2 linked regions of the Saccharomyces cerevisiae S288C genome follow. The main gene of each other region encodes a partner of the protein of the gene in region 2 in a complex. Each region holds a gene or a part of one and is shown on either strand. Other genes may lie near its edges. A codon is read from its position in the direction of its gene.

Region 1 (2,880 bases), on a different chromosome or scaffold from region 2:
AAACCGTGTCACCAACAAGGTCGTATCTCAATCGCAAATAATTTTCACGACAAACATTGCTGCAGGTGGTCGTGAATTGAAGGTTATAAAAGAATGTCCCGTGGTAATAATGGATGAGGCTACACAATCATCAGAGGCTTCAACACTAGTCCCACTTTCGTTACCAGGTATAAGAAATTTTGTCTTCGTTGGGGACGAAAAGCAATTGTCAAGTTTCAGCAACATCCCTCAACTGGAAACCTCACTATTCGAAAGAGTCCTATCTAATGGCACGTACAAAAACCCACTAATGCTGGATACGCAGTACAGAATGCACCCAAAAATTAGCGAATTCCCCATTAAGAAAATATACAATGGTGAATTGAAGGACGGTGTCACGGACGAACAAAAGGCATGGCCTGGCGTGCAGCATCCGTTGTTTTTTTATCAGTGCGATTTGGGGCCCGAGAGCAGAGTGAGAAGCACGCAAAGAGACATAGTCGGGTTTACGTACGAAAACAAACACGAATGTGTAGAAATCGTGAAGATTATCCAAATACTAATGTTGGACAAGAAGGTTCCGCTGGAAGAAATTGGTGTCATAACGCCCTATTCTGCACAGCGTGATCTGCTGTCTGACATCTTGACCAAAAACGTAGTTATCAACCCCAAACAGATTTCTATGCAACAAGAATACGATGAAATTGAGCTATTTAACGCGGCTGGTTCTCAAGGAACCGCCGGCAGTCTACAAAACAATGTGATTAACATCATCAACGGCCTACACGTCGCGACCGTAGACTCCTTTCAAGGCCACGAAAAATCTTTCATCATATTTTCATGTGTCAGAAATAACACCGAAAACAAAATCGGCTTTTTACGTGACAAAAGAAGGTTAAACGTGGCATTGACAAGAGCCAAGCACGGACTAATTGTGGTGGGCAACAAGAATGTCTTAAGAAAAGGAGACCCCCTATGGAAAGACTACATTACCTACCTCGAGGAACAAGAGGTCATATTCACTGATCTCACAGCTTACTAGCCGGCTAGGCGGCGGCAAGAAAATCCACTGTTTATGTATTGATTGCGCAATGCAGAGATAGATAGATATAGATAGATAATGGACGTAGTTATAGAACAGAAAATCGGTAGATCGAAAACACAGGGGAAAAAGGGGGGGGGGGGGGGGAGACAGCGCAGCCACGTGACGGGCTTCCTCTTTGGAAAGTGGAGCGAAGTTTTGCGGAAGCTACTTTATTCCGGCCTGGAGTCAAAAGAGGAAGCTCGGTGGCAAATAGCTTCCTCTTTGTGGCCGGGGCGCGGGGGGACGAGGCAAAAAGCAAAGAAAAGCAAAAAAAATAAAAAAAAAAACAAAAAAACAGGGGTATGAGAAAAAGACACGCTTTTCCACGCGCAGCAAAAAGGAAAAAGGAAAAGGAAACTCTTTATTATTGGACCTTAAACCTGAAAACGAGACGAACCGTAACATAAAACCGTGTAGTTTCTGCAAAAATAACTTAGTTTTTCCTACTTTTCAAAATTGAGAGCGCAAGCAAGTGAGAAGAAAAAGCAAGTTAAAGATAAACTAAAGATAAAAATGTCAACCAGTCGTGAAGATTCTGTGTACCTAGCCAAGTTGGCTGAACAGGCCGAACGTTATGAAGAAATGGTCGAAAACATGAAGACTGTTGCCTCCTCTGGCCAAGAGTTGTCGGTCGAAGAGCGTAATTTGTTGTCTGTTGCTTATAAGAACGTTATTGGTGCTCGTCGTGCCTCTTGGAGAATTGTTTCTTCTATTGAGCAAAAGGAGGAGTCCAAGGAGAAGTCCGAACACCAGGTCGAGTTGATTTGTTCGTACCGTTCGAAGATTGAGACCGAACTAACTAAGATCTCCGACGATATTTTGTCCGTGCTAGACTCCCACTTAATTCCATCAGCCACCACTGGCGAGTCCAAGGTTTTCTACTATAAGATGAAGGGTGACTACCACCGTTATTTGGCTGAATTTTCTAGTGGCGATGCTAGAGAAAAGGCCACAAACGCCTCTTTAGAAGCATACAAGACCGCTTCTGAAATTGCCACCACAGAGTTACCCCCAACTCACCCAATCCGTCTAGGTTTGGCTCTTAACTTCTCTGTCTTCTATTATGAAATTCAAAACTCTCCAGACAAAGCCTGCCATTTGGCCAAGCAAGCTTTTGACGACGCTATTGCTGAGTTGGACACTCTGTCTGAAGAATCATACAAAGATAGCACACTTATCATGCAACTGCTAAGGGACAATTTAACCTTATGGACTTCAGACATGTCCGAGTCCGGTCAAGCTGAAGACCAACAACAACAACAACAACATCAGCAACAGCAGCCACCTGCTGCCGCCGAAGGTGAAGCACCAAAGTAAGTATTCTGATAAATCTAAAGAGAAATTACTAAAAAAAAGAAAAAAAAAAGAACGGGGGTGTAATAATTTGTAGTTCATTATTGCAATTATATATCTATATCTATATATGTATATAACATTAACATGTGCATGTACACACGTAATCGCGCGTGTACATGTCTATATGTGTTACTTGAACTATACTGTTTTGACGTGTATGTTTATTTATCTCTCTTCTGATTCCTCCACCCCTTCCTTACTCAACCGGGTAAATGTCGCATCATGACTCCCGACAATAATCCCCTCTGGTATAGCGAGAAGCAACTTTAGCTTCTTAACGGCAAGAACTTTTTTATGTTTGTCGCACCTGTATCTTCACAAAAGTTGGATACAGCAATAAGAAAGGAAACCACATTTGTGCCAATGCTTGCTGCTTCATTCAAACGCCAACCATCACAATTGGTCCGCGGGTTAGGAGCTGTTCTTCGCACTCCCACCAGGATAGGTCATGTTCGTACCAT
Region 2 (5,477 bases):
CACGTCAGATTACATTCAAGATCTTTTACCTGATTTCGACCAGACCAATCCGGATGCTTGGTTATCTGAACAAAAAGGCCTCCAAGAATTTCTTCTCAAGTCACACTGGAAGTTAAACAAATATCAGAATCTTATGAAAAAAATCAACATTTCTTTACCAGATAACCTAATACAGCAATACCAATTGACTGATGTTTTGACCCATCGTGTCTTGAATTTACGATTTCCTACGAACACTGCCCAAGATGATAAATACATCATTCAATATTCAGATATCAGCCGCGGATTTTTGAACAATGGCTCCTACAGACAATTAGATTTCATCAATGTGAACCCCAGTGAAACCTCACTAAAAACCTTTATCAATGATGTTTTAAGCTTTTAAGTTTAACGGAAAAGAGTAATGACAAAACCGCATACCCCCCCCCCCTCCCCCTCTTTACCGCATCTACTCTATTTCCGACACATGTAAATAAAAAAGGCATTTCGTTTATATATATACTAAAATAATATATCTTTGTGTATTAATAAATTACTTATTGAGACCAAGCGTTTTTGATAGCGCCGACTTAACAGCAGCACTCTTTTGCTTTTTTTTTCCTTCCGCTGTACCTGGACCATCGTTTCCTGTTTGTGCCTCCACAGGTAAGGGCGGCAACTCTTCGTCATCTTGATCCGCTGGTGCCGTCATCTCACCTAACGCATTTAACCTTCTTTGTCTTTCGAATTCAGTTTCTGATTCATATGCATTATCGTCGTAATCTTCACTATCGTCCATGTTATAACTATCACCTAAATCCTCCTCAGATGAAGGTTCATCTTCCAGATCTAAGGAATCTTGAACTCCTCTCGGTGGCGCAGGTGTTAATGTCCTTTTCTTTAACATCCCTGGGCCCTTCCTGGAGGGTCCTTCGATGGCTTTTTCTTCATCTACTGGAGGCGGTACGCCGCTGTTCGCTTTGCTCTTTAGTCCTACTGCTGTTAAAGCTCTTGATACAACACTATCGTTTCTTGGGCGGTTTTTACTTTTATCATCATCAGATTTATGAGGATTTATCTTGTATCTTTTTATAACATCACCGTCCTCATTCTCGATGATTAACAGATTGTCTATTTTAAATGCATGATACTTGCTGTTTTTATTTTTATCCTTTCCTTTATCAACCAATGAATGTATCTTTCCTAAAGATGTGGGAGTTAAAATTCTCTTTAACCTTCCCCCACTACTACTGGATAGATTGGTCATTGTGGTAGTTAAACTTGAATGGGCTGTACTATCAACACTAACTTCGTCATCTCTCGCCTCATTGCGATCCTCGATATCTACTTGATTCAAGATTTCACCTTGCTTATTTTCAATAATCATTCTATTACCATCTAAATAAGCAGTACCAGGTTTCATTTCTTCCTCTTTCATTTTTCGAATTCTCCTCTCTTCACTACTGGCCATTGATCTTTCACTTTCATTTTCCATCTCGTCTTCGCTTTCAATCTCGCTTTCTGTCTCTTCTCCATCGTAACGGTTTCTTGGTACGTAAGTTCTTCCTCGGAGAGATGAAGATCTTTCAGACGACTCAAAACTTGGTGTGTTATTGTAATTATCGCTATATTCCTTTTCCGGTGTGTACTCATCTTCTTCTTCATCTCCACCCATTCCAATCTCCTCATTACGTTGTGTATTGACGGCTGTGCTCAATGCAAATGTGGCGGCGCGTGCTTCCTTTTCTTTTTGCAACCTTTCTCGTCCCAGATCATTCAACTCATCGTCATCATACATTTCATTTTTAGATCTTGATGAAAATATTTCTCTACCTTTGTTTCTCAGTTTCTGTCTTCTGTTCAATCTTTTCTCTTTTCTTGACAATTTCCTCCTCCTTGGCATACCACCAGCGGGTCTTGCAGGAATTCCGCTCGTTGCGACGCTACCAATTTGATCATTGTTTAATCCTTCTTCATCTTCACCTCCTGCTAGTCCCTTACGACCTCCTCCTTCTTCTGCTTCACCTTCATCCCCTGATAAAGTCATTTGAGTATCCATACGATGCAATGAAAATGATCGTCCAGCTTTATCCAACGATGGCAACCTTTGCATCCATGAACTTTTCCCATTATCACCATTGGTGGTGTGTGTAGTGAATGTTTTGGTTAACGTTATCGTGTTCAAATGACGACCTAGAGTTATGATTGCAACTGAAGAACCATGAACTATGATAGAAGTAACAATGAAAAAACAAGTTATTGGCCATATACAGGCTATCAGCTGCCAATGTTTACTTTCCTCTTTTGATGGTACAACATTTAAAGGAGTGGGTTCGTCACTAAAGGTAGACTCTAATTCTCCACGAGCTAGTATAGCGGCAAAAATTGCACCTACACCAATAGGACCAAAATGGCCCACAAAAAGTGCCTCACGCCACGATTTTATATCAGGTATAAGAGGTCTTAATATCATGACTGCAGGGATCCTACGTAAAAAGATGACCACTATCGAAAGTATAATTAAACGCCAGACGTTTGTGCCAATTTCACCGTTGTTGAATTGACTCCAAGGTATAATGGCACCAAAATAGATAAAATACGCATAGTTTAGTAGCAAATCAATCACGGTAGAAACATTACTTTCTTGTGTCTTTTGAGAAAACCACCCATCCCAAGCGAAAGTCGCACCGGCTGCAAATGATACCAATAGGTCATCCACACCCAAAATGGAGCCGAACCCAGCACACATGAACGCCAGGACAACGTAAAATGCTAAGAACGACTCACGATCGATAATGTTTTTCTTTTCGGCAAACCTGATGGTGATTCTGCCTACATAACCAATGAAGCAACCTAGCAAGCATCCAAACAAACACTCATACAGGATAGTAACGCAAATCCAATCTTTGACAATTTCTCTTCCATTACCGGGATGTAGGATTAAATTCATAGAAAGAAATAAAAAAGGAAAGGCCATACCATCATTGCAGCCTGACTCTGCAGACAGTAGATTTCTTAAGTGACCAGGTACTCTTTGGGCAAACTTACCGGAGACGACCGACTGCGCCAGAATAGGATCTGTTGCGGTAATGCACGCAGATATCAACAAACTAGCAGAAAAATTCAAGCCAGGTATAAGAATCCAAACGAAGAGACCAATAATAAGCCATCCAGCTGTCATCACTGGCAATAATAGCATCGTCACAGATACCCAATGCTTCAACATATATTTCCGTGGCAGTTCCACGGCAACGGCAAAAATTTGCAAACATAATACTATTCTCGTTATCTCTAATGTTATACTGTCTGAATTCCCCCATTTCAGAGGATTAAACCAGTTCAAGCAAACAGGACCCACAATTAGCCCAAATATACCTGCTACGGTGGACTCACCAATATAAAGCTTCTCCTTGACATAAAGTGACACTAAAGAGAAGATAGATGAAAAGACACCAACACATGCATAAGCAACGTGCGCCTTTGAGACTTCTAGTTGCTCCCAGATAGCCATAATATCTAGCTAAGTTCAGGATTTTTTTTTATAATGTACAAAAAAACACGATGCTTGGGAAAAATAAGTGCAGTGGAAAATGAAGCTTAAAAATCAAATGTGTGTAGAAAGTGTGATCCTATGTAAATCGCTAAGTCCGCTTTATCTTGACGATAACGGATCCAGCAGCTTTTAGATTATTAGCTATATCACACAGAGTTGGCTTAGTGCCCTTGCTAATCAAAAATGAAAATCTTCCCAATCCGTACGGAGGGGAAGAGGCACTGCCGCATCGCAAAGAAAAATAAGATTATCAGCATTATATTGTTTCTATTATTATATATGGGACTAGGTGATAAGATAAAAGTTAAAACGGGACTCTTGTATGACCTGGTCAACGATATCATAAACCGTGAAGTCATATTCTATGATGGCTTTCTCCAAGAACAGTGTTGTCACCTCTTGTGACCGCAAGTGTATCCCCACGAGGACATGGAATTGCAAATTGTAGGTAGTTTGTAACCAGTGTTTGAGTTGCTTGAGCGTCTTCAGAAACGGATCTATCAGGTACTCGTTGTATATGACATCCATAGCTATAACGTACACGGAAGAACATGTTTCACCTATGAGTGACAACTCAGGATGCAGAGAGTGGGTCTTTTTGTCTTGCAAGTTTATCTTCTCCCAGTCTAGAGCGGCTACTTCCAAATGCAACGTAGACTTAGATGGAAGTGACGCTGCGGTGATATCAGCGTCGCCAACTGGTTCGACGGTGGGAAGTTCCAATCTTAGTGATCGGGAAATGCACCGCTTTCTGGTCAACTGTGATAAGTTTTCCATGATGTTATCTTTTAATTTATTAAGAATGCCCTTCTGATCTGTCGACACGTAGGTGTCGACGAAGTTACCAAGAATCACGGGCAAAATACCTGATATTCCTGCTCCAAGTTCCAAGATACCTCTCTTGCCGCGATCAGCGCCCGTGAGGTCGACCAGCCTGGGCAACTCAAGCTTGTGCCCCTCGCAAGAAGACCCGCAGGTTACTTCCACCTGACTCCCAAGACGGAAAGGTGCAGCGCTAGTACTATACAGCAGCCAGTTGATGAAGAAAGGTGTGGTAGACCACAAAACGTATCCTGTGGTGGAGTTTCCGTTGTCTCTGGACGAGCGCAAGCTTGATATGGACTGCCCCACGCTAACATGATAGCTATCCACAGCAACATTCTGATCTTCTTCAACACTACTAGCCTTATTTCTTCTTCTCACTCGCTTTTTTTTTCTGCCGCCTTCCAGCCCAGAGGGTTCAAACGTTATCTCTAGCACACCGCCCCTTCTATCCTGAATACCCAAATCCTGCGCCAGTTTCCCGGACTGGCCCTCCAATTGTGTGTACCGTTCGAACACGTGCTCGTATATTGTTTCCTCATCCAGTAGCCATAACTTGAATGCCATTCTGCCTAGCCCATTTGCGTCTTCGCTGCCGTAACCATTCTCTCTTCTTGACAGCACTGCCTTGGTCAGTTCTCTATATTTGTCGCGCCGCCGCAAAATGCACCCACATTAAAGAAGACGACGCCAATCGACACCCTAATTTGGAGGTGTAGATGCACAATGGCACATGCAGTTGGGTGCATTGTGCCAGCAATCTCGTCTCGATTTCTCTACATGTAACTTGTATATATATTTGAGAGAAGACATAATCGTTGGTGGGACTTGGAGGCTCTTGGTAGGTCGTATTTGTGCATCTTGAGAGAAAGCGAAACAGTGCTGCAAACTCAATACGTAAAAAATAACGCAATATGTGGGCTCAATTATCATATACTAGACCAGAATCTCAGAAGACTGACTTAACGTCGTTGTTTTCCACAGATCAAGAGCAAAATCCATTAAATGACTACCAGTACCAGATCAATATTAGGGAACTGGAGGAGTATTACAACAAGACGATTTTAAACGAGGATAACATACAGGAAACAAGCAGTGAAATATCTTCGGCAGTTTCATTCTC

The links.
Region 1: the proteins of NHA1 (region 2) and BMH1 are in contact, whole or in part, in a crystal structure (PDB 6QK8), measured with the Saccharomyces cerevisiae proteins. Residues at the interface, in NP_013239.1 of Saccharomyces cerevisiae: Arg478 (codon at 2,059), Ser479 (codon at 2,056), Phe480 (codon at 2,053), Ser481 (codon at 2,050), Leu482 (codon at 2,047), His483 (codon at 2,044), Arg484 (codon at 2,041), Met485 (codon at 2,038); in NP_011104.3 of Saccharomyces cerevisiae: Glu16 (codon at 1,622), Tyr21 (codon at 1,637), Val48 (codon at 1,718), Lys51 (codon at 1,727), Arg58 (codon at 1,748), Lys125 (codon at 1,949), Arg132 (codon at 1,970), Tyr133 (codon at 1,973), Gly174 (codon at 2,096), Leu177 (codon at 2,105), Asn178 (codon at 2,108), Val181 (codon at 2,117), Tyr184 (codon at 2,126), Asp218 (codon at 2,228), Leu221 (codon at 2,237), Ile222 (codon at 2,240), Leu225 (codon at 2,249), Asn229 (codon at 2,261), Leu232 (codon at 2,270), Trp233 (codon at 2,273).

The regions. Positions count from the first base shown.
Region 1 is NC_001137.3:544,035-546,914, forward strand, and holds BMH1 (14-3-3 family protein BMH1), read left to right. Parts: upstream 1-1,576; coding exon 1,577-2,380; downstream 2,381-2,880. Other genes in the region: ECM32 (RNA helicase), read left to right, coding at 1-1,021; PDA1 (pyruvate dehydrogenase (acetyl-transferring) subunit E1 alpha), read left to right, coding at 2,783-2,880. UniProt on the Saccharomyces cerevisiae protein: Involved in growth regulation.
Region 2 is NC_001144.5:416,450-421,926, reverse strand, and holds NHA1 (Nha1p), read right to left. Parts: upstream 3,491-5,477; coding exon 533-3,490; downstream 1-532. Other genes in the region: SLS1 (Sls1p), read left to right, coding at 1-385; RKM5 (S-adenosylmethionine-dependent methyltransferase), read right to left, coding at 3,818-4,921; TIS11 (Tis11p), read left to right, coding at 5,269-5,477. UniProt on the Saccharomyces cerevisiae protein: Sodium export from cell, takes up external protons in exchange for internal sodium ions. Also capable of exporting potassium ions.